Schizosaccharomyces pombe: one gene and its partners. Changing the gene in region 4 together with the main gene of any one other region gives a genetic interaction. Each region holds a gene or a part of one and is shown on either strand. Other genes may lie near its edges.

What was found.
Region 1: mutations in bud20 (region 4) and ase1 together harm fitness more than expected from each alone (negative genetic interaction), as found in Schizosaccharomyces pombe (2 studies listed by BioGRID).
Region 2: mutations in bud20 (region 4) and med13 together harm fitness more than expected from each alone (negative genetic interaction), as found in Schizosaccharomyces pombe (2 studies listed by BioGRID).
Region 3: mutations in bud20 (region 4) and lub1 together harm fitness more than expected from each alone (negative genetic interaction), as found in Schizosaccharomyces pombe (2 studies listed by BioGRID).

The regions. Positions count from the first base shown.
Region 1 is NC_003424.3:1,874,287-1,882,193, forward strand, and holds ase1 (antiparallel microtubule cross-linking factor Ase1), read left to right. Parts: upstream 1-3,902; 5' UTR 3,903-4,075; coding exon 4,076-4,499; exon of another isoform or gene 4,500-4,546; coding exon 4,547-6,318; 3' UTR 6,319-6,440; downstream 6,441-7,907. Other genes in the region: SPOM_SPAPB1A10.08 (uncharacterized protein), read left to right, coding at 1,973-2,600, 2,673-3,295; GTPase Ypt71, read right to left, coding at 6,593-7,039, 7,094-7,192, 7,544-7,624. UniProt on the Schizosaccharomyces pombe protein: Required for anaphase spindle elongation and microtubule bundling in both interphase and mitosis. Has a role in spatial and temporal regulation of septation and cytokinesis and ensures equal partition of segregating sister chromatids.
Region 2 is NC_003424.3:3,094,575-3,103,087, forward strand, and holds med13 (mediator complex subunit Med13), read right to left. Parts: upstream 4,094-8,513; coding exon 4,052-4,093; intron 4,017-4,051; coding exon 501-4,016; downstream 1-500. Other genes in the region: protein mug74, read right to left, coding at 1-311; protein Noc12, read right to left, coding at 4,687-4,845, 4,909-5,256; mtx2 (metaxin 1), read left to right, coding at 5,533-6,093, 6,173-6,427; protein qng1, read right to left, coding at 6,723-7,575, 7,709-7,857, 7,904-7,942; snd302 (pho88 family protein), read right to left, coding at 8,395-8,513. UniProt on the Schizosaccharomyces pombe protein: Component of the srb8-11 complex. The srb8-11 complex is a regulatory module of the Mediator complex which is itself involved in regulation of basal and activated RNA polymerase II-dependent transcription.
Region 3 is NC_003423.3:3,542,759-3,550,522, reverse strand, and holds lub1 (WD repeat protein Lub1), read left to right. Parts: upstream 1-1,959; 5' UTR 1,960-2,017; coding exon 2,018-2,065; exon of another isoform or gene 2,066-2,131; coding exon 2,132-2,303; exon of another isoform or gene 2,304-2,348; coding exon 2,349-4,285; 3' UTR 4,286-4,395; downstream 4,396-7,764. Other genes in the region: sorting nexin Snx3, read left to right, coding at 21-86, 142-338, 419-503; RNA-binding protein Cwf29, read left to right, coding at 642-646, 737-1,385; Noc2p-Noc3p complex subunit Noc3, read left to right, coding at 4,565-4,675, 4,721-6,853; SPOM_SPBC887.02 (ClC chloride channel), read right to left, coding at 7,007-7,117, 7,171-7,764. UniProt on the Schizosaccharomyces pombe protein: Acts as a negative regulator of vacuole-dependent ubiquitin degradation.
Region 4 is NC_003424.3:4,902,918-4,909,102, reverse strand, and holds bud20 (zinc finger ribosome biogenesis protein), read left to right. Parts: upstream 1-4,869; 5' UTR 4,870-4,926; coding exon 4,927-5,003; exon of another isoform or gene 5,004-5,062; coding exon 5,063-5,360; 3' UTR 5,361-5,685; downstream 5,686-6,185. Other genes in the region: rsm22-cox11 tandem protein cox1102, read right to left, coding at 1-2,125; yip11 (SMN complex subunit Yip11/Gem2), read left to right, coding at 2,709-2,875, 2,981-3,329, 3,404-3,595; sst2 (AMSH-like ubiquitin-specific protease), read right to left, coding at 5,886-6,057, 6,102-6,185. UniProt on the Schizosaccharomyces pombe protein: Involved in pre-60S ribosomal particles maturation by promoting the nuclear export of the 60S ribosome.

The DNA of each region.
Region 1 (7,907 bases), 3.0 Mb from region 4:
CACCGTTTTATCTGATGTAAAAGCTGTTCTAATTTATTCTTTAATGAATTATATATTTGTATATGGACAGATAGTAAGACTCGCTCCATGGATTGCAAGGCACGTGAGTTCCGTGGATGTTGATAGTGCAAAATAATTAGAAGTTTTACATCGGGTAAAAATTTACTTGCAACCTTATTATCGTGCACTTATTTGGCAGATTGGACTTTACTATTGATTTGACAGACCCTTCTCTAACGTGTTATAGCCGGAAAGTTCGGCTTAGGAACACTTGCCGGTAAGTATACTATTCAACATAGCAAAGCCCTAAAGAAAATCTCACTAAAACCAAGTAAAATAAAACAAGTTAAAAAAAAAATAGCTAAAGACATCGTGACAAATTGAATAATATGTTTCATGAAATTTTTGTGTCAAATGATATTGATCAAAATGTGATACCGACTAAGTCAATCTTCATTTATGTGTATATGTGTGTGTAATTTTTTTAATTTTTTTTCCTACTGACCCAATGCGCTCTTTTTCCTATTTGATGGCCGAAAATTTAATTTCACAAATTTTGCTTCCATTTTCTTGTGACTTTACCATCAGAACTAGTGAGTAACGAAATATGCTAAGTTTTGGATAGGAGGAAATTTTACTAGTACGAAAAAATCTCGACTTTCCTCCATTAGCTGAACAAAGAAATATGCTTTTCCCAATCCGTATGCGGTTGATGTAACGGAATGTGTAAGGGAAATGACTATCTTTTAATTTAAATCTATTTTACGTTTATCACACTGACTACTCGGCTATGAAGGGGAGAGAATGTAATAGCGATAAAATTTTCAAATGTATTTCAATTACTTAGAAAAGATATTCAGTATCCTTTTTCTTTTTTGAAAGCATACAAATCATAAATAAAAACTCATATTGTTCATATACTGTTTGTCACATAACCCTTCGTATTACTAATACAAACAACGATAATTCAAGCCTTAGTAATTAACCTAGCGTTGCCAAATATCAACAATACAAAGTTCCGAATTGCCCTTGTAAATACGGATCTGCAAACTGGGAATTTGAGAGAAACAGCAAAGAGCATATACAAGTTTGCCATTGGGAATACAGGTGAGCTCCGACTCGTTCTTTAAAGAAAGCTATTCAGAAAGTGATTTTGAAATCCGAAATATCTTCTCATACGTCTCTGTATAGGTCTTCCTCAGTCACATTTGGATATCAAATCATTCATCGCATCTCATCATCATTATTCCTATAGATCCCATTTTTACTTATACCACACTTTGTCCTTTCTTTATCCTTAATACATTCATCCGTGGCTGCGCAAAACCAGTCACTGCCGCTGCTGTTAGACTTCGTAAAAACGTATAAGCAACGCTGGTGAAGGAGGAAAATACTTTGGTTATTTCTAGCAAAGTCAACAATACCCAAGCCCCGCGGAATTTTATCCGGACTTCGGCATTCATCCTCTCGCCTATAGAGGAGTAATATTACGGTAAACAAGCAACCACTTGTCTCTTCCGGTCTTTAAAATCAGCAATTCTCCTTGCTTTCCCTATTTACCATCCCTACTTCACAATTCCTTGATTGCTGTTTTTTTGTAAAAATTGGGTTTATTTTTCAACAGTAATCATTCCTTTGCTTGTAAAAGCCAGGAATTTTGGCTAGTGCTTTTAGCCTGCTGAAGTTTCATCACCCGTGAACGTGTGTAATTTAATTGCCTTCATTCGATAATCAGTTTTCACATTCTTTTGCTGTAAAACGAGAACTAGAAGCAATTGAGCCTTTTATTCGTCTTTTGAAGGCTTTAACGTTTGTTTGTTGTATTTTTAGAAAGCTCGAAGGTCGTATAGCTTTCCAACATTGTAGCTTCTAATTCACTTTATGAACTGCTTTGCAATTAGAAACCGGTAGGATTTGATCAATTGGCTTTATATATAGGCGCTATATTTTCTTTCTTTTTACATTTCTTTCTATGATGACTCGGATGGAATTAAGACCATTGGAAATTGGCTTCTCTAAAGCACTCACAGAAGTAGCTCCGGTAACTTGTCAATGCGAATGTTGGGATCATAATCTTTGCAGCTCTCAAGCTAGTGAGATGGATTTAATTTATCAGTCTCAGGATACCCATTCTTGTGCATCAAAGCAAGACGCCGTTTTTCAGTTGCTGAGTGAAACCAAGATCCCTGTTCCCAATCGTTATAGAAAAATTTCACATCGCTTGAGTACTCTATCTAATAAAAAAACTCTTAAATCACAATTAGATCGTTTTTTGTCTTCGTCCAAAAAATTACACAATGATGATGTTAATAGAGGTGATTACTGCTTTCTTCTTTCTACACCTGTCGAGTGTTCTGCTTCTACCAACTCTCATTCTTACGACTGTTTGTGGAATTTTTCGTGTAATTCATTCCCTGAATACTCCTCCTACTCTGCTTCGGAAACGTCTTCAGTCGCTTCTTACTCTTACTATTCGGGGCCAAATCCTGCAACTCCCAGCTCTTCCTCTTGTAACCTCGTAAACGCAAATAGCCTTGATATTTACTTGAATATTAACAACTTAAAAAAATCCAAATCTGTTCCTCGTTTAAGAGGTCAATGTATGTTCTTTTAAGATTTTTCAACCTTTTCTCTTATCTTTTATTTATTCATCGTTGCTAACAATATCATAGTTATGGAGCCCGTAGAGCATAACCATCCACTTTCTAAAAGTCTTGAGGAGCAATCCTCTTTTTTGGAACAATCAAAGGATGCTTCCTCTAACTTGACCGCCTGCAATAGGAGTGGCTCTAGTTTATCATCTAATTTCTACTCATCTAGGTTGTCCAAAAAAACATCTTTAGCATCTTTAAATAAGTCTCGAGCTTCTTTACAGCATAAAATAATGTCGCTATCTCGTAATATCATCAGACGTGTATTTCACAAGCCAGAAGTGCATTTGGATCCAAGTGCCTCCATTTTAAATCTCTCATCTTCGCATGGCGAAAGCAACCTGACAAATGGTTTGCTTTGTCAAAATTTCAAGCTTTTTCAGGATGATTGGTTGATGGAGGATTGTGCGCCAGATGCCAATTTCACTTTGTACACCCCGCTTCAACCCTGGGAAAAGCGAAGTGTGAAACCTGAAATCAGACGTCCTCGATTAAATCCTAATTTTTTCCGAGTATTTGTTTTAGAAGCTCAAATGCGACGAGCTGGAAAGCTATCAGCAAACACTGCTGGCCGAGCCCAGTTAATTTACCTCCCAAAGCCTGCCGTTACCTTCTCCACTAGCCCTTTGCATGTTGAATTGTAAAAATTTAACGCATGACTTATATACATTTGCATTCTTCCAAGCTGGTTATATTTATTTTCATTTTTTTCTCACCCAATACTTTTTTATCCCTACTGTCTTTATGGACAATCGACTCACAATTGTTTCTTTTTGTTGTATATGATTTTTTTTTTAAAGGAAATGGGTTTCGCGATACTGGGTTGAATCCCAATTGCGGTTAATATTACATAAAATAATTCTCCCATAGTCCTAGATCCTGTCTTTGAATATGAGCAAATAAAAGAATTGAACAAATCATGAATGCTTTTCTCTCTTAGATGATATTTTGTATGCATAAGTCTAATTATATTGATTACGATAAGACTTAAAAAGTAAGCCTTTGTATCCTTTTAAGCAGTATTTGAATTTTCTTGTATCATATTTTAGGTAGAGCAAAAGATACCAGTTTGTAGAACTTTATGTGCTTCCTTACATTGGTATATTTCAGGCACATAAATATTCTTCAACTTACAATTCTAAGTATTTTGTTTATACTAAAAGGAGCTGAATAACGTTTATACAGTGCTGACATTGAAATCTATTTGCTTTCTTTGGAATATAAGCGCATGCTGAGTTACTTTCGCAGGCCAAGCCATATCCAACCACCATTTTTGTGCCAAGCTTTTATGCAAGGTTAATTCCTTGTACTGCTTGTTATGTTATAATATATCAACATCTTAACAGTTTTCATATCTTCCTTTATATTCTATTAATTGAATTTCAAACATCGTTTTATTGAGCTCATTTACATCAACCGGTTCAATGCAAACAGTAATGATGGATGACATTCAAAGCACTGATTCTATTGCTGAAAAAGATAATCACTCTAATAATGAATCTAACTTTACTTGGAAAGCGTTTCGTGAACAAGTGGAAAAGCATTTTTCTAAAATTGAAAGGCTTCACCAAGTCCTTGGAACAGATGGAGACAATTCATCATTATTTGAGTTGTTTACAACGGCAATGAATGCCCAGCTTCATGAAATGGAACAGTGCCAGAAAAAACTTGAAGATGACTGTCAGCAAAGAATTGATTCAATCAGATTTTTGGTTTCCTCATTAAAGTTAACGGATGATACTTCTAGTCTCAAAATTGAGTCTCCTTTAATTCAGTGTTTGAATCGTTTGTCAATGGTAGAAGGACAATATATGGCACAGTATGATCAAAAGTTAAGTACGATTAAAGGTATGTAATCGTCTTTAATTTAGACTTGTGTTTTAACTGATGTATAGAAATGTATCACAAATTGGAGTCATATTGTAACCGCTTAGGAAGTCCGTTCGTTTTACCTGATTTTGAGAATTCATTTTTATCTGATGTATCCGATGCTTTTACTGAATCTTTGAGAGGACGCATCAACGAAGCCGAAAAGGAGATTGATGCGAGATTAGAGGTTATTAATTCCTTTGAAGAAGAAATTTTGGGTTTGTGGTCTGAACTCGGTGTTGAGCCCGCTGATGTTCCACAATACGAACAATTGCTTGAATCCCATACTAATCGACCAAATGATGTTTATGTTACTCAAGAACTTATCGACCAACTTTGCAAGCAAAAAGAAGTTTTTTCCGCTGAAAAAGAAAAGAGAAGTGATCATTTAAAAAGTATACAATCAGAAGTTAGCAACTTGTGGAATAAGCTTCAAGTTTCTCCCAATGAACAAAGTCAATTTGGCGATTCATCAAACATTAATCAAGAAAATATTTCATTATGGGAAACTGAACTTGAAAAACTTCATCAGTTAAAAAAGGAGCATTTACCCATTTTTTTAGAAGACTGTCGTCAACAAATTCTTCAGCTTTGGGATTCTCTGTTTTATTCAGAAGAACAAAGAAAGTCCTTTACACCTATGTATGAAGACATTATTACAGAGCAGGTTCTTACGGCCCATGAAAACTATATAAAGCAACTAGAGGCCGAAGTTTCTGCTAATAAGTCCTTTTTAAGCTTAATTAATCGCTATGCCTCTTTAATAGAAGGAAAGAAAGAGCTTGAAGCTAGTTCTAATGATGCCTCTCGTCTAACACAACGGGGACGCCGGGACCCAGGTTTACTTCTACGTGAAGAGAAAATCCGTAAGCGACTTTCTAGAGAACTTCCTAAGGTTCAGTCGCTGCTTATACCAGAGATTACAGCATGGGAAGAAAGAAATGGAAGGACGTTCCTTTTTTATGATGAACCACTTCTCAAGATTTGCCAAGAGGCCACTCAACCAAAATCATTATATAGAAGTGCAAGTGCTGCCGCAAACCGCCCGAAAACAGCAACTACAACGGACTCTGTTAATAGAACACCTTCTCAACGAGGGCGTGTAGCTGTACCTTCAACACCAAGTGTTAGGTCCGCTTCTCGAGCTATGACGAGTCCAAGGACACCGCTTCCTAGAGTAAAAAACACTCAAAATCCAAGTCGTTCCATTAGTGCAGAACCGCCATCAGCAACCAGTACCGCCAATAGAAGACACCCCACTGCTAATCGAATTGATATAAACGCTAGATTAAACAGTGCTAGTCGGTCTCGAAGCGCGAACATGATAAGACAAGGGGCAAATGGTAGTGACAGCAATATGTCTTCTTCACCCGTTTCTGGAAATTCCAATACCCCTTTTAACAAGTTTCCAAATTCTGTATCTCGCAATACACATTTTGAATCCAAGTCACCGCACCCAAATTACTCTCGAACTCCTCATGAAACGTATTCAAAGGCTTCATCTAAGAACGTCCCATTAAGTCCTCCAAAGCAGCGTGTAGTTAATGAACACGCTTTAAATATTATGTCGGAAAAATTGCAAAGAACTAATCTGAAAGAACAAACACCCGAGATGGACATTGAAAACAGCTCGCAGAACCTTCCTTTTTCTCCTATGAAGATATCCCCCATAAGAGCATCACCCGTAAAGACAATTCCATCATCACCGTCCCCCACTACCAACATTTTTTCTGCTCCACTCAACAATATTACAAATTGTACACCGATGGAGGATGAATGGGGAGAAGAAGGCTTTTAAGCTTCTTATTTACCTAATCGATCAAATTTAAATATACATATTTTTGCATATGAATACAGCATATAGATAATTCATAAAAGTTTATTAACTGAGGTCATAATTAAAAGACTATTTACACCTAAAAAAAAACGTGTATCAATAGAGGGAAAAGAGAAGAATTAAGAACAGAAAGTAACCATAGTTTTGTTAAAATAGCAATGTAAAAAAATATTATGAAAAGAAAACGTATAGCACATTTTGAAATGTAAAAGAATCTGAGAGAGCGTGTGAATATCTAGCAATTACAAGAAGATGTATTATTCAAAGGCTTTGAAAGAAGCAAAGGTTCAGAGAAGTCATTAACAAAGTCATCTCTCGAGCTTTCATTTTCTAAAGCTAAACGACTGACTGTTTCGAAAAGGTCAGTAACGTTTGTATTTTCTTTTGCACTAGCTTCAAAATGAATCATATTTGATCCATGTTTGGATTTGCAATAGTCAAGAGCTCGATGAAGAGATACGGCTCGTTTAGACGCGTCTTTGTCGATTTGATTTCCAACGATAATGAAAGGGAATGCACATTCATCTTGTGAAGTTTGATATAAAAATTCTTGCCTCCAGTTTTCTACTGAGTCAAAAGACTTCGAGTTATTCACATTATAAACAATTACACAACAATCGGCCCCTCTGTAAAAAGCCATTCCCAGGCTTTGAAATCGTTCTTGACCAGCAGTATCCCAAAGCTGTTTATAATTAGCAAACGAATTTAGATGGGCGGAACTTATATTGGAACTTACCTGTAATGTGACCAATTTGTCGTCAACCACAACGTCCTTGGTTAAAAAATCAGCACCGATGGTAGCTTTATATTCGCGACTAAACTTTTGATTGACGAACTAAAATGACGATGTTAACAAATTGCCAAAGCAATACTCATAGAGAAGCTGATGTAAAGATCGTTAACCATATTTGAGCTAGTATTTAATAACAAAGTGAATAAATTTTAAAAGCAATCACCTTGTAGCGACAAATAACAACTTATCGACATAAAATCAATGGGAAATTGCAGTATTGGATTTTACAGCTCAATACAAAAACCAAAAAGAAAAATATACTGAACGTATAAAATTTAACGCTTCAATTGATAACCACTACACCATCAATGGTTGAATTCGAGGGTAATGCTTAAAAAAGCTCGTCTGTACGATACGTCGACCACATCAGCAACTCCCCTAGCATTAACATACCTGATTCATTAAACATGTTTTTCCAACGCCACTATCTCCTAATATAACAACCTTTAAAAACACCCTTTTCTGAGCCGACATTGAAGTATATTCTGTCGTACCTGGTAGTAAGAAGTTCAGCCCTTAGAATGTCCATCTGGGACAGCATTGATAGTGTCTTTCAGTTTGACACATTACAGTAAGTAGCATTACAATACTTCGTTGCATAGCGTTGTTTTAAATACGAATCTTTACCGTAAATTTTTATAACAATATTTAACGAAAACGAATAACTCACTAAGTTTTTAATAAGATACATTTGCTTTCAATAGACATTACAGTGAAGGATCTAGTTATCTGACTACTATCCTGGGAAGTCAACTAG
Region 2 (8,513 bases), 1.8 Mb from region 4:
CTAGATTTATCTAAATGGGAAGTTTCATTAGGCCAAATACTCCCATTTGCTAATTTTTTTTCAACTACTGTTTCTCTTGGTTTCAAAAACGAAATTTGATCCGATGTCTTTTCGTTTAGAAACTCTTTGTTTGAAGAAACAACTAAATCTAATTCCTTCAACTGTTTACATAAGATTGAGTTTTCCTTATCTGAAAATAGCTCATCTTTTACTTTGCATTCCGACCTTTTAGTAAAAACCAAATCGGTTTCAGGTTGTTGAGATATTTGGTCAATCTTAAAACACTTAATTGAGGACTTATGTTTCTTCATTATGTTTTGCGTTGGCTAATTTCATGGTTAAAAATGGCGGAATATGAAATAGTCGACAGTAAACAAACACTGTGTTTTCACTATGTCAACCTTCCCAATCTAGTAAACAAAAACGATAACAAGAGTAAACCAATTTTGGCACAAGCGCATTATAAACTTATACTGTATAAATTAATAATACCCCAAAAACTAAGAGGTCACAGGATGTGTAATGTCTGATGCCATAAACTGCAATAGTTGCTTCTGGTATAAAACGGTAGAAATGTGTAATGGGAGTGAAGAAAAAGAAACATACGTTCGAAACTGTAAATAAATCATACTTAAATAATGTTTTAAAATAAGATTTAACATTAAATAAGGATCATGATTTCGAGATATCAAAAGATGAATGCTTAACAGTGGTAAATAAGATTCGTCCTCGTCTAATGCTAAGTATCCTCTAGCTAAGATTGTAGAAATTTTCTTAAATTCATCGTTCGGCACAGGCATTGCCATTTCTCGGATAAACGCAACCAAAGAGAGCTCATGACTACTATTATTACGAATAACTGTGCTTGAAGCCGAATATGGAATCCTTGAAAACACTTTCGAAGTTGAGCCAGGTCCGTGCTCTGCTGAGCAGTAACCAACTGTAAGAGAAACATTGCCTTGTAAGTTTTCAGGTATTATTGCTTGATCCCAAAACAGATACTCTGCGTCAGACATCTCACCAATCTTCATGACGATTACTATCCAATCCATGTGCATTGAGTTAAGGAACGTAAATGTGACTTCTAAAATTTGCTGTAAAGCATCTTCAATTTCAAGGTCTTGGAGAAAATAGCGTCTCTCAGTTTCAAATTCTCCATAGGAATCATTCCAATTGCAAATAAGCAAGTGCTCTTCGACAGTTGTATACGTTACATGTAGCGCATACTCTCCCAAAGCTGAAGATCTGGGATTAATATCTTTAAGCTGATAGTTAAGAGTTGATAACAAGGGCTTTTTCAGGAGAAAAGCCGGTTCACGTCTCTTTAATGAACCATCCATCAATAAAGGATCATTATTATAAATGTCGAGTGAAACTTTTGTAAAAAAAGAGTTCGAATTTGTAGTATGCGAGTTGGGTGAATCAAAAATAGAATTCGGAATCGTGCATATTCGTAATGATTTATCTTCAAATTTATTATCCCCAAGTCTCTTGATTGAGTCCTTTACGCATATAAAATGTTGACAAGCCTTTAAAAGTTTTTCGGAATCATCTTCTAAAAAATAAAAAAAAAGTACGTTTTTTCCGCTTAATTCATTAACACAAACACTCGCTAGTTGTTCATAAGAGGTTGCTGTATCGCTTTGAGTTGTTTCATTATCATCATAATTATCTGTTTCATTAATATTTGTACTGAATCCCATCACTCTTTCGTTAATAGAAGTTTCAGATAAATTCAGTTTTCCAAGTTTGCAGTTTTCATAAGCCAGCTGAACATCATAAAAAAAGCTGATAGCCTTGCTGCTTACGTCGGGAGATTTGGAAGAGAGCAAAAAAACTTCAAAATCTTTGCTCTCACCATACGGTTGAAGACATAAAGATATCCAATTCTCTGGTGCCGAAGAATCTAAAGACAACTTTTTTTCGTTGTATTTGAGCAAAACACGAGGAGGTTGGGAGAAGTTTACCAACGTTTCAGAAAAGTTAACTTGGGATGGAGGATTGTCATTTAATGCGTGATGCCCGTTATTAATCGAGGACAGATAATTTTCTGGGCTTTTGCTCAAGAAAACAGCCGAACTTTCACCTAACAATATTTTCTCTAAATAATCCCTAATAGGCTTCCGCATGTACGAAGAAAAGTTTAAAACATCTTGAGACATCATGAAACTGGTAGTCATGCTTTTCCAAAAAGGTAACGATCTAAACCATAAGTTTTGAGACAAAATAGCGTTTAACAAGTCATTTTTTCCCAAGGTAATAGTGGGTTGTAAATCTAACGATTTTAAAAAACTGAAATCAAAATTTGCTGACTTGGATTCATTCATAAGAACCTGATGTGCTAACGATAGCGTATCATAATTTGAATCGGGGTTACTTTGTTCTGAGATATTAGTGGGTGTTTTAGAAGATGAAAAAAAATCGTGATTATACTCCATTGTAAAATCTTGTTGTATAAAGTTTGTAGAGCAGATGTCTTCATCTGTACTAGTTACCGATTCAGCGACCGAAAATGATTCAAATAAATCTTCAGTTGACAAAGAAGGAGAAGGGCACCAATATTTACCACCATAGTTATACTTCTGAAAAATACTGGAGATAGACGAGGGAAAAATTACCGCAGAATAGTATGAAGGCATATACGCAGATGTAGGGATTTTAGAATCTGAAATATTTAAAGAAATTTCAGGAATATCAACTTCGACGTTGTATGGATTTAAATCTTCGGTTACCATTCTATCATCCGATTGAATTTCCATTTGCTTTGGAATATTTTCGTGAGTATTCAAATTTGGACTGGTGTTTGATTGAGAGATGGAAGTGTTGATTTCCTCATTATCTAAGGTTGTCATAGTATTTGCAAAATTAGGCTCAATCATCTCAACTTTTTCTTCAACGTTAGGTAAGTCAAAGTAATCAAAATCAGCCTCTGTTATTCCAACATCGTCTATTTCCTCCATTAGTATGTCATCTGAAACATTATGATCAGCAACAAGTATCTCTTCATTTACTTTTATTGAAGCAGGTGTAGATTTTGCAGAATTTATCGAATAATTAACGGGAGAAGAACTATGAGAAGGAACCAAGGTTACAACGGCATCAGCAGTCTCTTCCTTTTCTGTAAAACCTTCTTTTCTTTTATCTGAAGCTTCCGCTTCTTCATTTGCGAACTCAGTTAATTCCTTTTTATTGTTTACGACGTTTGAAGGGAGGACTAGGTTATTCAAATCTGTAAGGTTGCTAGATAATGAATCATCATTCATTCGAAGGGCCGACGTTTCCAAAAAGCAAAGTTCTAAAGGCCAGGAAAATTCTAATGCCGAAGATTCTAAGGTAACACCCACCCACTTTGAAGTAGTCGTAAGAGAGAATCCATAGCGGTGTTTCAATGCATCAACAGTTTGAGCAGATGCGTTGGCATGCACAGAGGTTAATGTTGCCAAACAACCAGTCGGGGCTAAACGAATGACAGTGTCTAACTTTTTAACCAAATTATCCACTTCCGACAAACGATATACCGTCTGCCTTGTAGGCTTTAAGTAAAATTCTATATGGCCTTTCGATAAGACAGAAAGCTGTAAATCCACAACAGGATATCCATATATGTTCCAGAGCTGGGTATCGAAAGAAGGGTGTAATTTTAAAGGAAGAAGGACACCATAAATTGGAACAAAGTTGTATTCTTTGCACAGCCAATACAACACCGTTTTTTTCAATCCTTGAAGAAAGTTTATATACAGGTCTAATAGAAGAGCTAATTCATCTTTTTGAAAAAGAGCTAATCTGGAAAATGCACCTGAATTAAGTAGCATAAAAGAAGATGATTCCTCAGGAATAGATGGAATGGCTTGAAAATCATATACAAAAAGTAAGTCATTCTTCGCGTGAACAATGCAATCCTGATTTCGTAGATAAGCTTCTTTGTCTTCTAAGAGGGAAGCAGCATCCTCATTGTCCTTTCGCTGAACCTGATACTTCGCATAATATATAGTGTTAGGGCAAGGCTGATCAGTTAGCTTTTAATTTATCATGTTATAATAGAAATAATTACAATTGTTTTAATACTAATTAGATGAACTCCATCATGTACCATGGCAGAGGATAATGGCAGATTATTATATAAGAGGAAGTAGCTAGCGTACACGCGTAAAGAAAGCACATGCGGCCACTGTCTCATTTTAACATATTTCTTAAAACACACCTGATACTTTTACTGTTAATAATAAAATAAACAAACATTAAACTAACGGTTTAGTATGCAAATAAGCATAAATGCTTCGAAATTGATGAAGGAAATATATACTGACATATAATGTTTATATTAATCCCGTAATGACCGCTATTTTAATAAAAAAAGAATGCTCCGCCTTAAATTCCTATCCTTACTTTACAAATAATTAAAATGAATGAAAGTGTAGCAATAAAGGTCCAACACAATTGCAACTCCTTCAGGTAATATGTATGAACCTATCCCTCAGTATAATGTTAGTTAAACATTACATTCCCTTAAGACTCCTCTTGAATGATGGTTTAAACAACTCATGAGTGATGGCATCTGAAAAGTGAACGAGAAGATTACAGAGAAATTGGGATTCCCCAATCAGTTTTAACAGATACACTCATTGCTTATAAAGTTATAATAAGAAGGAAAATTTTTAAATAAATAAACTAGTTGTCAAGCGTTTTTTACTCATCATCCGAATCGACATCAACTGAATCAGAATTTTCAGACGAACTTTTTTCGATTTCGGTTTCATCTTCTGACTCAGTGTCTAGAGCACGAGCATCAAAGCTGTTTTTAGAAAAGCCCAATTTTTTGGCGAACAAATTCAACTCATTTGCAAACTAAAACAGAGGATATTAGAACCTTTTGAAAGAAGTAATTAAGAAACATCGATATTGACTTACAGCATCAGTCCCATCCTTCTTGGGTTGTTTACGATTGGGTTCTTCGAATTCCAACTCTTCATCGCTTTCTACATCTTCAATCAGCTCCAGATCCTCTTCGGTACCTCCGAGTTCTTTAATATCATGGAGTAAACCATACGATTGCTTTCTTTTCCGATTCGCTTTAGGCTTTTCCAATGATGATTTGGGTTCCTTAGGACCAACGGAACTTTTATGTTTATCAATAGTTTTGTTTTCCTCTGTTTTGTTTTTTAGTGATCTAGCAGAAGAATTTTCCACAACTTTTGAATTTTTTTTCATGTCCCTCTCGACGACATCCTTGATATCTGAAAATAAAGACAAATCCATATTATGATTTATGTCAAATAAAATAAATACAATCTTTTGTCGAGTTTATCGATTATTAGAGGATGTGAAAATCCAACGCAAAATAGAAAAGTGTGTATGCAGAATTAATGCTTGGTATAGTAGAAACAACAGAATATTTTCTCCTACTACAATATAGGTAGAAATTTGAAGAAATTGCACGCTTTACCACTTAATCTAACAATTTCGCTAAGCACACTATTGATGGTATTGGTGTAAACTCTTTAGAATTAGCAAACTTAGTGACAAGTGAAAAGGATGGGCGGTCTAACAAAATTTTCGAGTTATTTTCATTCCATTTTCTCCCGCTTCCCTTTAATAACGTTTTCTAATCCTTACCCGGGCGAAAATGAAGATTACAAAACGAAAACAGTCATGTATTTGACTATGTGGAATTCCGACTTGAACTCAGAGGCTCTGGACGTTAATAGTCTTCAATGGCAAACCTGGGCAAAATTAAACGACCCTTCAATTGTTTTTTTAAATGTGTCTAACCACGCCTCTCCAGATGAGAAAGTACCTTTTATTCAAATTGAATCTCGAAAATTAGTCCTCAATCCATCTCTTTTACAATATTTTTTAAAGGATGAGTCAACACTGCAGCAAATCTCTCCTTGGATGAGTTTGCTGATAAATCAAGTAGAAACGGCAATTCTCTTAACTATGTATTTGGACAACGAGAACTTTTCTGAAATTCAAAAAAAATGGTTACCTAACATGTCTTGGCCTTTAAATATTATTAAATCAATCGGGTTACCTTCTCAAATTAAACGAAAAATTTGTCTTCAGTTGAACGAATCAACTCTTGATTTTGATGCGGTACGTTTAATAATTTTTGATAGCAGTTAGTCTTCTAGACCGAGCATTTTGAAGCATGATTTGTACTAACAAAGCTTAGATTTTAGAGGATGCTTCGAAGGCGTTTTCAGCTCTTTCAGAACTTTTAGGATCGGACAAATGGTTTTTCAATAACGAATCACCTTCTTTCTTAGATGTTTCTTTGTTTGCTCATGCAGAAATTATCAATCATTTACCTTTAAAAAACGATCAATTAAAGGTTGTTTTGGGGACACACAAAAATTTAACTGATCTCACAACGCGAGTTAGAACTCTCGCTGGTTATACATCGGCTGGACCCATTGCTCTTCGTTAACATTTTAATTAATTGAGCATAGCCCAACGAAATTTTATTTCTTTGATTGCTTTGACCGAAGTTCCCGATATTATTATTTTATTTTTAAACGTGGTTATAATGTCAAATGCATTTTCTCATTAATACTAGCTTTCACATAATGCTAACATTAACTTTACCATGTTTTTCCGTTAATTTATTTCAGCTTGTTTTTAGTACTTTCTCACTCTATGTTAAAAAGAGAATAAATTAACAATAGGTCAATATTATATAAGTATATTTTTTCAAATGCCACCAGCATAAGCCTAAATACTTTCTAATAGTATATACTTCTCACTCTAATACAAGGGATTGTAACTTCATCGACCTGAGTACTTGGTTTATAACCCTTAGCTTGCCACTCTTTGGCAAGATCCCATAGAAAAAAATCAATTGTGATAGCATTAACATCTTTTCTGTTAATGTTTTGAAGAATCTTTTCAACAGCCCAAATGCTACATCCACGCATCTCGATTTCCATAGGATCATTATGAGCTATCAATTCATTTTTTAGCAAACGCTTTTTAAAATCAGAAGAATAGCTCAGACATCCTAATTGCCACAATATCTGGGGAACGCGATAGTCAGCAAACATTGTGATAGAATCGATATCGTCAAATCGACCGTAATTTTGTCCCTGAAAGCAAGCCCAAGTTTCTGCTACCAAAATTTGAGCACGTTTGAGCATATAACATTCTCTTCCTTTGTAAACAGATACATCTCTAAAATCAGGGAAATCAGCCAACAATAGCTTTATTAGTCTCTGCGCTTGATTATGACATTTTTTGAGTAATCCGCAGTATGAGCCATGATAAGAATCTACCAGTACACGGCCAGAAGCTCGCATGATTCTTATACGCTCCTCTAAAAGCGGTATTTTTTCAACGGTAGCACTGTCAAATACAGAAGCAATGAGGGTATCAGGACATTGTTTTTCATCAGCATAAAAAGCAGGGCTTGTAATGGGAATACCAGCATCTAATGCTTTGTTAATGGCTGCACATAGACTCCAATAACCAGTGTAAAGCTTCCCTTTGTATTCAATAGAAAATCTCTTGGAATGTTTTCCACTGTCTTCAACGTCAACGTCTGACCAAAATGAAAAATTCAAAATGTCCACCAAGAAAATCCTAAAGATTTGACGTTAATACATTATGAACAGGGTAAACTTGTTGAAATGAAGTATTAAAAAAATATAAAGTGTATATGTTCAGCAGCTCATCTTTATTTAATCTACGAAAACATTCAAGCGTCCACACATACCAATCTAAGGTAGAGACGTCTCGGGTTTTAGGGTGAAGTTCGTGATTCTGCCACTCAGCGAATTGGGGTCCCAACGAATCTAGCTTCTCTTTAATCCATGTTGCCACTGCTGCACAACCACCTTTATTAACTTTCACATCGTTTGAGTTCTTTCAATCGTTCATGTTAGCAGTTATTAATAAGTAGTAAAATTACCAAAGAAATAAATTCAGCATCTTGAAGCACTCGGGACATTATAAGAGTTTTAAGGGAACGTGGATGATGCCAGTTTACACTGAGACCTAGAAAGGTAAAACACAAGAAAAATAAGAGCACGAACGAATATTTTGTAAGACAAGCGTACTAAGGATTCATTAAAAAGTAATGAAGGAGGAAAGTGTAAATAAGTATTTCATTTCATACATGTATCTATAAATTATTCGTACTTTATCTTACTATAATTATATTATTCTATAGATAGCCCAATTTTACAATCCAAGAACTACTGGTTTGTGTAACACTTGAGCTATTAGCAACCTAAAAATGCAAAGGAAATGAATTTGAACCGATTAAATTGAAACTAGGAAAAAAAACATCGATCTTTAATTCTACAACTATCAAATTAAATCAACCAGTGAAAGGACGAAATAATTAAACAAGCATGATGACTTTAGAAGTATCATTGAATGTCCAGCGTTCATAGATACTTAAGAAGACTTTTCAGTTTCGTTTTCGTTCAATTCAGTGATTGTAGGGCCATCAGACTTAGCTGAAGCATTGTTAGAATTGGACGAAGTGCCAGTAACAGCAGCTGCAGGCTTGTTTC
Region 3 (7,764 bases), on a different chromosome or scaffold from region 4:
TCTAATAGATGTTATTTTAGGTTATAAATCCACAAACTCACGGTATTGGAAGAAACATGTTTACTACTTATGAAATTGTTTGTCGGGTAGGTACCACTGAAATTCATCTTCTGATAGCAGATTATTAACTCATTTTTGTAGACCAATATGCCCTATTTTCGTCTACATAATTCTAGCGTTCGTCGACGTTACAGCGAATTCGAGAAATTTCACGATATGCTTGAAAGAGAGTCCGGTCGTGTTTCAATTCCACCACTTCCAGGAAAGATATTCACTCAAAGATTTAGAGATGATGTTATCGAAGAACGTAGACAAGGTTTGGAAAATTTTTTACGACTGTAAGTATTGAATGTTAATTTTGCCTTATTGCCCCAAAGAGCGTTTTAAATTGCACAAAAACTAATACATTATTATGTAGAGTTGCTGGACATCCTCTTATTCAAACCCATTCTCGTGTTTTATCTTCTTTTTTACAAAGCCCGGAATTCAAGCCTACGCCATAAACCCGCCGCTAACTTGTTTTTCTCCATTTTGCCCTCCAACTGTTAATTTTTGTCAATCTTTTTTTTTATTTTAAAAGAAAAATTTGGAAATCAATCTGTTACAAAGTTTAATTACCATTTAAAATACCTTAGGTTGTTATGAAGTAAGTTTTCTATTGAGGCTAAAATATAGCAAAAATCCGATTCATCTTTTCGCTGTTTTCGTTTTTTAATTTTAAAATTAACAAAAGTAGCTCCATTCGTCAAATTGAGCGTTTAAACGAGCAAGAGTTGGATAAACCTTTTAGCAGTTCTTGGCACCAAGATTATAGTGATAGTGCATATATTTACATCGGCAACTTAGATTTTGATTTGAACGAAGATGATATTTTATGTGTGTTTTCTGAGTTTGGCGAGCCAGTGGATATTAATTTAGTGCGCGACAAAGAAACCGGAAAATCGAAAGGCTTCGCCTTTCTAAAATATGAGGATCAACGTTCGACAGTCCTTGCCGTTGACAATATGACGAATGTAAAGTTACTTGACAGATTGGTTCGTGTTGATCACGTTGCTAGCTACAAAGTACCGCAAAAAGAAAAAGAACCTGCCAACTTAGTACCGTTAGGCGAATCAGGTAGTTCTCTTTCAGTGAGTACAATCAACACTTCTAATTTACCAGACCATGACTACAAAACGATAATACAAAACGAAGTTGAACAAACACTCTCACCCAAAGATGAAAAAGATTTACTTGATCCCATGCGTGATTACATTCATAGAGAAAAGCGTAGAAAGCTCAAGCATGAATCGTCGGACCGTTCAGATAAATCAGATTCAAACCGTCATTCCCGTCATCATCGTCGACATTCCCGTAGTCGTCGACATCGTGATCTGGATGGATAGCTATCATATTGGAGTATATGTTTAAATTTACTTCCTTCGTAATGATACTAGGGGTATGGTACACGATTTATGATGATGAATGATTTTTTATTTGATCAATATAAGAAAACTATTAAAAAGTGTATTGTTAGCATTTTTTTTGGTGTTCTTAAACATACTAAATTTAATGGAGGACTTTGGATTTAAATTACAAGATTGCTGTGGAATTGAGAAATTATAAATGACTTGTTTACAAATTTGTTGTTTGCAGTTTTTTTGCTAGTTTAAGCAACTAGTCAGGATAAATCGATATATTAATTTGCTGCAGCAAACCAGTTAAATGTGCTTCTTCCCAATTGGTAAGACTAATAATTAAGTGTTGTGAAAATTCTACCAAAACCACCTTATAAATAAATATATGTGTATTTTTAATATTTGCAAATTATAATTTGAGTCCTCAAACTATTGTATTTTCCATGGTATTCTAATGTGCTCGAACTACAGCTAGAAGTAATCTTTTAAGGGATTCTAACGATGTCAATGATATCAAGTTGTTCCTATGTATAAGCTGTGAAAGCCTGTTTAACTTCCTTCTGCGAAAAGCAAATATACCTTTATATTGGCTTCTCATAATCATCCTTAATAGACTGAAAATGACCTCTTATGAACTTTCACGAGAGCTAGGTGGCCATAAACAAGATGTATGAAGAAAGGGTTATTTGTTAATACCATAATCATGAACATGTTCAATAACAAATATATATTAGGTTCGCGGTGTTTGCAGTATTTCCAATGAATTGATAGGATCTGCCTCTCGAGATGGAACTTATAGTGTCTGGGAGCAAATCAATGGAGAATGGACGCCCCATTTTTACGAAAATCATGAAGGGTTTGTCAATTGTGTTTGTTATGTGCCGGCGATCGATAAAAACTCTAGGGGTAATTACTGATATTGATTTTATTTATTTATTAACTTTGACAAAGGTTACATATTTTCAGGCGGACAAGACAAATGTGGTATTCTTCAAGAAGTAGGCACTAATTCACCCTCTTATTATTTGTTTGGACATGAGTCCAACATCTGTTCTGCATCTGCATTAAATAGCGAAACAATTATTACTGGAAGCTGGGATAGTACGGCTAGAGTATGGGCTTTAGGCCAATGTAAATATGTACTTAAAGGGCACCAATCCTCAGTTTGGGCTGTTCTTGCCCTTGGTGAGGATATCTTTATAACAGGTTCAGCCGATAAATTGATCAAGATTTGGAACGGAGAAAAGCTTGTCAAATCTATCTTAGCACATAACGATTGTGTTCGCTCGCTTTGTCAAATTCCTGGAGGTTTTGCTTCCTGCTCTAATGATGGTGTTATTAAACTATGGACTTCAGATGGTGAATTCTTATATGAATTGCATGGCCATACCTCGTTTGTATATTCTTTAACTTATATCCACAACCAGCAGCTGATCGCATCTTGTGGTGAGGATCGTACAATCAGGATTTGGAAAGGTAAAGAGTGCTTACAATGTATTACTTTACCGACAACTAGTGTTTGGAGTGTTTCCTCCCTTCCAAACGGTGATTTAGTTTGCGGTTCCAGTGATGGTTTTGTTCGCATTTTCACAGTGGATAAGGTTCGAGTTGCACCTACTGAAGTACTGAAAAATTTTGAAGAAAGAGTTTCTCAGTTTGCCATTTCGAGCCAGGAAGTTGGTGATATTAAAAAAGGGTCACTGCCTGGTTTAGAAATTCTTTCAAAACCCGGTAAAGCTGACGGGGACGTTGTAATGGTTCGTGTAAATAATGATGTTGAGGCTTACCAATGGTCTCAAAAAGAGAATGAATGGAAAAAAATAGGCCAAGTGGTCGATGCTGTTGGTAACAACAGGAAGCAATTATTTGAAGGAAAAGAATATGATTATGTCTTTGATGTTGACGTTGCAGATGGTCAAGCTCCTTTAAAGCTTCCTTATAATGCTACCGAAAATCCATATCAAGCTGCTAACAGATTTTTGGAGCTGAATCAACTTCCCTTGTCTTACACCGACGAAGTAGTTAAATTTATTGAAAAAAATACTCAAGGTCACAGTTTGGAATCGAAAAAGGAGCCGAACCTAGAGAGCCAATCTTCAAACAAGATTAAGACGACCATATTTCCAGTTTCTCAATTGCTTTTCTCTAATGCTAATGTTCCGGCAATGTGTCAAAGATTACGTTCCTTAAACAATACAAAGTCAAACCCTTTACCTGCTAAATCTATCGACAGTTTAGAACGTGCTTTGTCTTCAAAAAAAATTACAGATACAGAAAAAAATGAGCTTTTGGAAACTTGCTTATCTATCCTCGATTCATGGTCTTTGGCAGAAAGGTTTCCTGCGTTAGATGCTTTAAGGTTACTAGCAATCAATTCTTCTTCTGATTTAGCTCCAATATTTTTAGAAGTATTTAGCCGAGTTGTGAAATCTGTGCCTTCTAGTGGGAATTTTGAATCGATCAATGTGATGCTAGCGTTACGTGGTTTGTCTAATGTTGTCCCAAATATCACTGATGCTGAAGGGGTATCGAAACTGATGGATTGTTTGACATCTACTGTTCCGCAAGCTAGTAGCGCCAAGGACTTTAAAATTGCGTTTGCAACATTAGCAATGAATTTATCAATATTGTTGATACAACTAAACCTCGAGAACACTGGAATTGAACTTTTATCAATACTATTTTCATTTTTGGATGATCCATCTCCTGACAACGAAGCTTTTTATAGAGCATTAATGGCTCTTGGTACACTTTGCACTGTACCCGATATCGCTTTAGCAGCTTCTCAAATATATCATGCCCAGTCAATCGTCCATGGGATAGCGGAAAGGTTTTCACAGGAGATGCGCTTTGTAGACGCTGAAAAGCAAATCCTTTCACTCTTTTAGGATAATATTCGGAGGTTTTTTTTAAAGAAACGCGTTGCTTACTTCAAATCTTACTTTACGATTAAATGTCTCTTATTTTAAACGGTTTAACATTAGGCTTTAATGACCTAAATATATTAATAATTCTTCGAAAACCCAAATTTTAATATTGTATATTATAAGAACAAAAGTTAGCAAAAGAGCTTAACGCACTTTAGCATATTCCATTAAACTTCAAACTGTAGCAAAAAATTGTTTGTGGCATTCAATGAATGTCGCCTTTGCCCATTTGAAAAAGTAATGGCGGCTCGGAAGAATCAAAAATCCCCAAAACCAAAGGTTGCTTCTAGTAAACTTAAAAATATCAAAAAAAGTTCAAAAAGGAATAACTCGCAGAGTAGCACAGAACCGGTATGATAAGCGAAATAAAAATAATATTTTTTTACTTACATTTAGAGAAAAAATGCCACTTCGCTAGATTCTAAAAAGACGACAAAGAAAGGCGTTGCATTGCCCGAAATTGCTGAGAGAGAATTGACCCAAGAGGATATTGAATTTTTCAACGAGAATCCATCCTCCCTCAAATATCTTTCTAGTATTAATCCAGAGGATTTAGGCAAAAAAGTAGAAAAAGGCCCTCGGCCTGATATCTATGATCTGAAAAAGTCTCAACAGTTTGAGTTGGACACTTCACGATTGAGCTCTGATGAAGAATCCGTACTTGATTACTCGAAGGACTCTGAAGATGAACAAGATTATGAATTACGACCTCGAGTTAGCTCATCTTGGAATAATGAAAGTTACAATAGACTTCCTATTAAGACTAAAGATGGATTATTACAAAATGTGGTTGCTGATGTAAACAACGGAGAAGAGTTTCTCTCAGAAAGCGAGTCTGAGGCTAGCTTGGAAATTGATTCGGACATTAAGGATGAAAAACAAAAATCATTGGAAGAGCAAAAAATTGCTCCTGAAATACCTGTGAAACAGCAAATAAAAAACGACAAGGAGGCTTTAGGAATACAAGCCCAGCAGCTGTTGGAAGAACCAGTTGAAAATCTTCATCTGATTCGGAATATATTTGAAAAGTTTGACTCCCCATATATCACCATTAAGAAGCTTTCACTTTTAACTTTGCTTGCTGTTTTTCGAGATATTATTCCCGGCTATAAAATACGTCCACTGAGTGAAGAAGAACAAGGCACAAAATTATCTAAAGAAGTTGCTCAACGATGGGAATACGAGCAAACATTACTTAAACATTATGCAAAGTTTCTTCAAACTTTGGAGACTATATTGAAATCGTTCTCTTCAACTCTGGATGAAACTCAGCTGTCTTTATATCAGGTCGCGGTTCGTTGTTGTACAAAGCTAATTGAACAGGCATCACATTTTAATTTAAGTGAGAAGTTATTTGCATTGGCTGTTCGACAAATAAGCCATAAAACCAAAAGACCTGGATTTGATGGCATTATCAATTCTCTAAAAAATATATTTGAGGAAGACAATCTCGGTAAAACCTCATTGAAATGTGTTACAATTTTATCAAGGATGTTCAAACAGAGAAATTACGACGTTCTTCCAGATGTGTATGATCTTTTTTTGAGTGTTAATATCCTTAATGATATGAAAATAAAAGACGAGGCATGGCAGGATGATACCACAAACTTTAAAAAACGTAAAAAAGACTTGCCATATTTGACTAAGAAAGCTAGGAAAAATTACAAGGAAACTAAGAAAATCACCCAAGAGATGAAGGAAGCTGATGCTGTCATTACAGCTCAAGATAAAGAAAAGTATCAGTCGGAAATTTTAAAAATAATATTTATAACTTATTTTAAAACACTGCAATTAAAGGGGAAACTGATTGGTAATGCTCTTGAAGGGGTCGCCAGATTATCGCATTTACTTAACATTGAGTTTCTTGGCGATCTATTGCAAGTTTTGCGAGAATTGGTGATGGATGATACTGTATTTTTGCCAAAAGACAAATCGGGAGTTCAAGCAACTCGTGAAGCACTTCTGACTGTTAGCACAGCTTTCGAAATTGCTTCGGCTCAAGGCGTTGGTAAATTGAACTTGGATTTAGATCTTGGTCTTTTCGTTCAAAGACTTTACAAAATAATATTCCCTTTTTCTTTAAATCCAGATGCTGATTTAAATCTTAAGATTAAGCGCTTAAAGGATCCCGATGCTCCTTCTAAACCTTTTGTAGTAAATGCTACCACTGAGATGGAAATGTTATTAAAATGTTTCCAAGTCTTCTTTTTTAAGAGTAAAAATATAAGTTCTTCAAGGCTAAGTTCTTTTTCCAAAAGGCTTGCTATTGCTAGCATGCAACTGCCAGAACACTCTGCTTCTGCAGACTTAGCTTTGCTTAAAAAGTTACTTTCTCGCTATTCAAAACTCTCTCGGTTACTTACTTCGGAAGAGCAAATTGGTGATGGCATTTATAACCCTTTTATTGAAGACCCAGATTTGTCTAACTCTTCAACGGCTGTACTCTATGAACCATTTCTTTTGAAAAATCATTATTCACCAGCTGTATCTCAATCGGCAAAAGAATTGTTAAAAAGCACTTCGTTGTAGAAATATGTATTTTTTTTTGGATAAAATAAATACACATGGTCATGGAATGGGAGACTTTTTCTATTTAAAATTTCTTTAGATAAAATGAATTATAATATACAAATATGGAGAAAAATATTTCGGTTTTCAAGATACATATAAATCATAAACCTGCTAGTCATCGGCGCGGTTGAAAATATCAGTTTCATAAGTAACGCCAGTTGGAAGCTCGGAATAAGTGTTCCCTGTATGAGTCTTGCACTTTTTAGCATATTCTATTATGTCCTAAAGTTAGTTAGTATATTTCGTTAACATCAAATGGTACAAATAAAACATACTATCTTGGTTAGAACACCATGTAATTTCCCATGATTCAGAAGGGCTAAATTTGTAATGCCAGCATCTTTAAATAATTTAAGCATTAAAACTGGTGGAGTATCATAATTTAAGGTAAATGTGGTAGGGTGAATATAATCAAACAGGTCAAAAGTCGAATCAACAGGTGCTGAAGCACTTCGAAGCGGGTCTAGTCCAGTATTGTCAGTTGTTTGCATATTAGAACTCATTGGACGTCTATTCAGTAATTCAGAGACTTTATTTCTTGAAATGAACCCCTCAAAAAATTCAGTATCATTTTTTAAAACAACAAAGAAAGACTGTGAAGAATCATGCATGGCTCTCTCTAATTCCTCAATGGAACAACTTCTAATCGGCAGCCTCACCAGTTGTTCCGGAGAACGTACTGGAAAATTCAAGGGTATTGAAAATTTTAAAGAGTTGGAAGAAGGGAAGTAGGGTATGTTTCTAAACTGAATCCAAGCATCGTAAATGGATGTTTCAATAATGCTATCCGAGACCCATTTACTAATTAAAGTAGCTAGCATAAGAGGGAGAGCAATGTTTAAAGCTCCTGTTAGTTCAAAAAGAATTAC
Region 4 (6,185 bases):
AGTCTACTTTTTCATGAGCATCTAGCTTTTGCTCTTCAAAGCAAAAGCATGCAACCTTTGAGAAGTAAACAGCGGCTTGACCTGGTACTATATTATAAGTTGCAACTCCTACTATGTCATGGTCGGACGTATTTTCAGCAGTATAAAACCCTAGAGCAGTCTCGCCTGGAAGAACATATATTTCACGCTGCTGGGGCCAAAGCTTCCAGCTAAGGTTTCCTGCAACGTCGCCATTGAAAGTAACTCTGATTCTTTTATTGTCTTTACGAGGAACCATTCTTTCTGCATTCATACGACTTTGGTCGGTATTAAGAGTGCCACCATAACCTGTTTTCGAACAGAAAAGACGATATAAAGGTACAGCCGCATATGTCAAGCCCAACGCAAAAATGGAAATTGCAACCAGATAATAGATAGTGGTCCTTTGATTATAGTGGAATTTATCTCTCGAATATTGTCGTGAAATATTCCTGGTACCAGAGATGCAATTGTAACAGCTAAATGAAGTAAAAATACAAGGGAAACGATGTGAATTAAAGTCTGCAAATCGAGAAAAAGCTTTATGACGATTAGTCGAATAGAATCGTTTTCCGACAAAAATAGGATCTGCAGTTGTATTTCTTTCAACTTTGGGTTTATTATATGAGGGGGGATTGATTGAATAGGTAGAAGAAGCATCTTTTAAATGTTTAGTAATTTTACTACTTGGAGAAGTACTTTGAACTTTGCCCTCTAACGGAAACAAGTCGCCCCAAGCACTTTTCCTAGCTAATCGATAAGCTAGTTTACCTTGTGATTTAGGAACAATATTCCTTCTAAGCCGAGCATCGCTATCACAGACATCAATTATGACATGTCCATCTCGCTTCAGTGGAGGTCGAATTATACGTGGCCAGTTTTTAAGAGTTGGAGATGTAACATTCACATTTTCTAGTAAATCCTCATCATTCTTGAACCTTTGTGTGGTATTATTAAGCGGTCTAGTTATACCCTTTTGAATAACAACATAACTGTAATGAGAGCGATCCGAGGATCGACGATGAGAACGAGGGACATATAGACGGGAAAATGGGGATAGGAAAAAATGTTGTTTGAAAGAACAAATATTTGCTCTTACCCCATTTTCTATATCAATGGGGCAGCGACCATCGTGGGGACAGGGTGCTACAATATGGGCATTGAATTGTTTATCAGAAGTATTTTTACTTTTTTGCAATAGAAATGTTCTAGCTCTTTGAATCAAACTAAAGCCACGCTTTGTGCCTCGCTCGCAGAGCACCAAAAGACCACCATCATTTGACACGAGACTCCAAAGCGAACGAAGATAATCAAAGAGTTCTTTCTCCGATTTCATTTCAAGAAGCTTGTTAGATGCAATAACTAGAGTGTATGAATCCTTTTTACCCAATGGTAGACGGTTAAGCGTAACAGGGCTAGTTGGATTCGGCGAAGTTGACGGGTAAATGTTATGGTGAATATCATATATGATTTTTTTCAAAAATGGGTTCTCCTCAACAATTGAAACTGAATTAGGTGTGGGAAAGACTGAATAACTAGCTAGAGCACCAATACCTGGACCTTTACCGCAATCCAGTATATGTTGAGACTTGCAAGACACATCACTGTTTACAATTTTCAAGTCAGTCAATACGCTGTATAGAGAAGCATATTGATACGGCATAGACTGATGAATATAAGCTAAAACTTGGGGATCTGTCATAGTCCGAGTAGATTCATCTTTGAATGGCGCAGACAATGGAAGCTGAGATTCCGTAGCCAAATCTTTTTTAATATCATTAATAAATTTTTTAATTTGTCCTTTTTCGCTCTTTTTCAATAAATCGTCCACATATAGATTAAATTTTGTATGCAAACTAATATCACCACTTTTCTTTTGATCCTTTACCAAAAAGTCGAGTAAACTGGAAGCTTCTGGACGATGTGAAGAGATCAATTCGTTTTTATAATCAGAAAAGTTGTTTTGAACAGCTTGAAAATTTGCATTATACCACCTAATGGTAGTGGTTGTTCCATATGGTATGAGACATCGCTGATTTTGAAAAGTAAAGCAATTCCGTAAATTATAAAGAAACAGAATTTTATATCTGCATGTTAGAATGGGCATATGTGCTGCTCAAAACACCAATTCACCAATGAACAATGGGATTTGGGGATAAAGCACTGATCTGTATATTGTGTAGAGTAAGTGCCTGATTAAGTGGCCGCAGATGGTGTTACTTGCGTTGACAGAAGAATGAATAGTACAATTTCCTACATATCTATATGTTTTATGTTTATTAAATTAGTTCAAGGATAGGCAATTCTGTCTGAGTGAATATTCTCCCAGTTTTAGCTTCTTATACACTTCAAAAAAATGCAAAACTTTGAACTTCTTTGAAAATAAGAACAAGTAATAAATTTTATGATAGTAAAGGAATTATCAAGAAATAGCTAAAATTAGTTTTAGCATTACACTTGATCAAGATAGACTCTTCACATTGATAGTTCTACAGATACCTCTTTAACCTTACCATTCTATTATACTAGGGTAATCTTCGATTTACGAAACATTCCTTGTTAACTAACTACAAACGAAAAGTTGCCGGAAAAAAACAGCCTACATTCCTTGAGTATTTTCATGAAAATTCGGTAATTCTTTTCCATTTGGTTTATATGAGAAGTTTGCAATTGTACAATAATAATTCAAAATGCCCTCGAAAAGAAAAAGAAATCCTTTACAATATCAGACTTCAGGATCATTAGATGAGGAAACAAATCAACGCAGCGCTTTTCCACAAATCGACAACAATAGTGCTTCAGAATCTTTGGAATATGATATACCACTTGATGGTTTAGATTATTTAGCAACTGTGAGGTACGAACATTTATATATGAATTTTTGTGAAAATCGAAATTTGCAACATGAATGCTTTAATCTAATCATTGTAACAATAATTGGGCTTTTTACTGACAAGTTCAGAGAAGAAGCTCGCAAGCTAGTTCCATTTGTAGCGGCGCGTCGTGAGCCTGAAACAAGAGAAACCATTCCTCTTCGCAAATTGGAAATCGAGGCCGGCAAAAAAAGCTTTGACCCGTTTTTACGATACTTACTAAACATAATTGATAAAGAAGGGGAAAGGCTTGAGCAATATATGGAATCTTCTTCATTGGACGCATCTATTTTACCTAAAAATTTACAACAATGGCGTGTATATATTGAGCATAAAGCTCCTTGTTGGGCCATATTAGCAGTGGTTGATTTGGCAACTGTTTTGGAGATCCTAGAAAGCTTGTCCAGCTGGCTTGAAAAGGACGCAATTGATTTACAGGTTGGTAACAAGGATCTCATGCTACTTTGCTGGTGTATTTTTGTTCATTCTAAAATTTGCTAACATTTTTCTAGAGTCAATGGATTTTTTGCTTTTGTTATAAACTTCCTGAGCTTTTGAATGGAGAAGATATATCGACCCTACGTTCAGTACTCAAGTCTTTACGAAGTACGCATACTTCTTTTCCTGCTCTGCAGATGTCAGCATCTGCCCTTCAAGCAGTCTTAGTTTATCGATATGGACAAAAAGATCTCTTTCAAACATAGAGTCTATAAATCTTGGTCGAAAAAAATTTAGGTACACATGTTCATATAGCATACGTTTGTTTATAGGGAAAAAATTAAAATTGATAGCTTGTTTTAAATATGTTTTTAGGATATTATTACTTTTTTGAATGAAAACATATGCTACACGGATATGCTGGGCTTTGCATCTTTGAACATGTGATTAAGCAAGCTTGGAGATAGCTGCAATAAACAATTTGCCTATTACAAATCGATAGATATATTTTAAAAAAACACGTTTGAATTGAGATAGGCAAAGTTATTTGTTTATTGATTCACATTTTCATTTTACAAAAAATGGCTTACTATTTGTTTAGTACGTGCATTCGTTTTGCTGTCTGCATACTTGTCGAATCGAGGGTTTCAATTATGTTATTACATGATAACTAGCAACTTTCTTTAATTCGCGCCCCATCTTACGAAATTAACTAATAAATTTTTACTGTCTTTTTCGACCGAGTGATTTTTTACCCATATGAGGTTTTTCAAATTCAAAACTAATTGAACATTGCAATTATTCTTTGGGAAAAAACAAAAGTCAAATAAAGATAAAATAAAAAAGAAATAATTACAACCTCACTGCCAAGAACCCCTTCGTGGTTAATTGAATCTTTTGAGTTCGAGCAATCAAGCTCCTTTTGTAAAACTAAATGTCACTAAAATTGCTCACACTTCAGTATAGCAGTCTAAATGGAGAGCTCAATTTTTTCCTTGCTGATAAGCGGACTCTGATCTCGCTACGTGAATACTTTCTTTCCTTCGACTAAACGTCAACTTGTCGAGACTTTGATGAAATAGTGGCAGTTAAAGCCAGAAAGCTACTGAATGTTAATTCATTTCTTCTATAGTTGCCATGTACTAAGAATCACGCCTAAAGCAATTTTCCCTAATAAATTCCGATGCTAAACATCCCTTAAATTACAAAGTTTTGTCAAACGATGGAGCAATCGTCGCTTAAAAAGCGCAATTTCAAAGGCATGCATTTCAACTTGCTTTGACCATGCTCTCCCAAATTTTGAACGAATATTTATTTATTAAAAAATTTACGCTACTTGAGCTATTCAGAACAATCAATAATACATATCTAATACATTTCTCTTGCTTTTCAACTATATAACGAGGCTTTCCTTCTCGTTATTAAACTTATCGCAAACTACGATAGGAAAATAAGATTATTTGAGAATTATTTTTCACTATACGATATAGCACACATTACGCCGTTTGGATATTGAATGTGTTTACGCTTAAAAAAGTTTATCCTTTGCAACTAACATTGTAATTGTGGTAAACGGGTTTGTTTGAAGTGACGGACAATGGGAAGAGTTGCCAGAAAAAGAAAGCATCATAGCAATGGAAATCATGCTTTGTTTAGAACTCGTGTTTATGGGAGGTATGCAAATTTCATGGTCATTCAATCATCGTTTGGTAAATTAACAATTGGACAAATAGAGACTTAGATCAGATTCACAATGACTTAACAGAGTCTGAGAAATTTGATAAATTACCTATAGATCCGGATTTGCCAGGTTTAGGTCAACATTATTGCATTGAATGTGCACGGTACTTTGACTCGTCTCAAGCATTGCTGGTGCATAAGAAGGGAAAGGTTCACAAACGAAGGTTAAAAAATTTGCGTGAAGAGCCGTATACACAAGAAGAAGCAGAAGCTGCGGTGAATATTGGACAGCCAAAACAGAGTGTAGCTTCCAAGCTTGCTGACAATAGTAACGTTGTCATGGCGGACTAAACTAGAGACACATTTACGAATGCTAAGTTAGTCAGCACTTTTGCTTTTGTTCCATATTCGTAGCGCATGCTCTTTATTTAAACAGATTTTTATATGTCTCATTCTCATTTATTCTGCTATATTATCATTAGCAGCGTTTATTGGTAATTTTAGTTGCATCCATGTTTGGATTACAAATTTACAACTAATACCTTACCATTGGTTACTGGATGTTAATCTAGCTTCAAGAGTGAGCATCTCAAACTACCTTCACGTTATTTTGGTTTCTTTGGATACATGGTGTTTTAAATAAATAAAATTTTTTTGATAATTTTTTCATAACGCATTCGCTATCATTTAACAAAATCCTCGTAAAAAAACAAATTCATCAAAGAACGTTTCATTAGACGCATAGATTCATTTCCTATAATGAACTTTCCGTAGCCACTACCATGTTACAAATACCATTAGTTAATTCATAAGTGCCTGGCGTCTGTAAGATGAACCAATAATAGAATAAAAGAAGTGTTACTATTGCATCCTTACCTATTTAACCCTCAAATCAACAACTTGAAGTTTCGAGTTAATTTCTCTAACATGCCCAGGCTGAGCAACCATCGTATAAACTTTTCCCTCATGTGGATGAAAAAGCCCAGGTTTTCGACACTTGACTATAGTTTGTAGTCCCTCAGGATCTAATAAACGGAAGATGCCAGAGCTAAAAGTCGTTAATATATGTAGAAAAAAAAATTTTTTTCTTACGTATTTTTGGAAGGAGCCATAACAATTGCAATAGCTTCAGGTAGCATAAGCTGGTATGAACAATGAGTATGCAAATCCACGCTA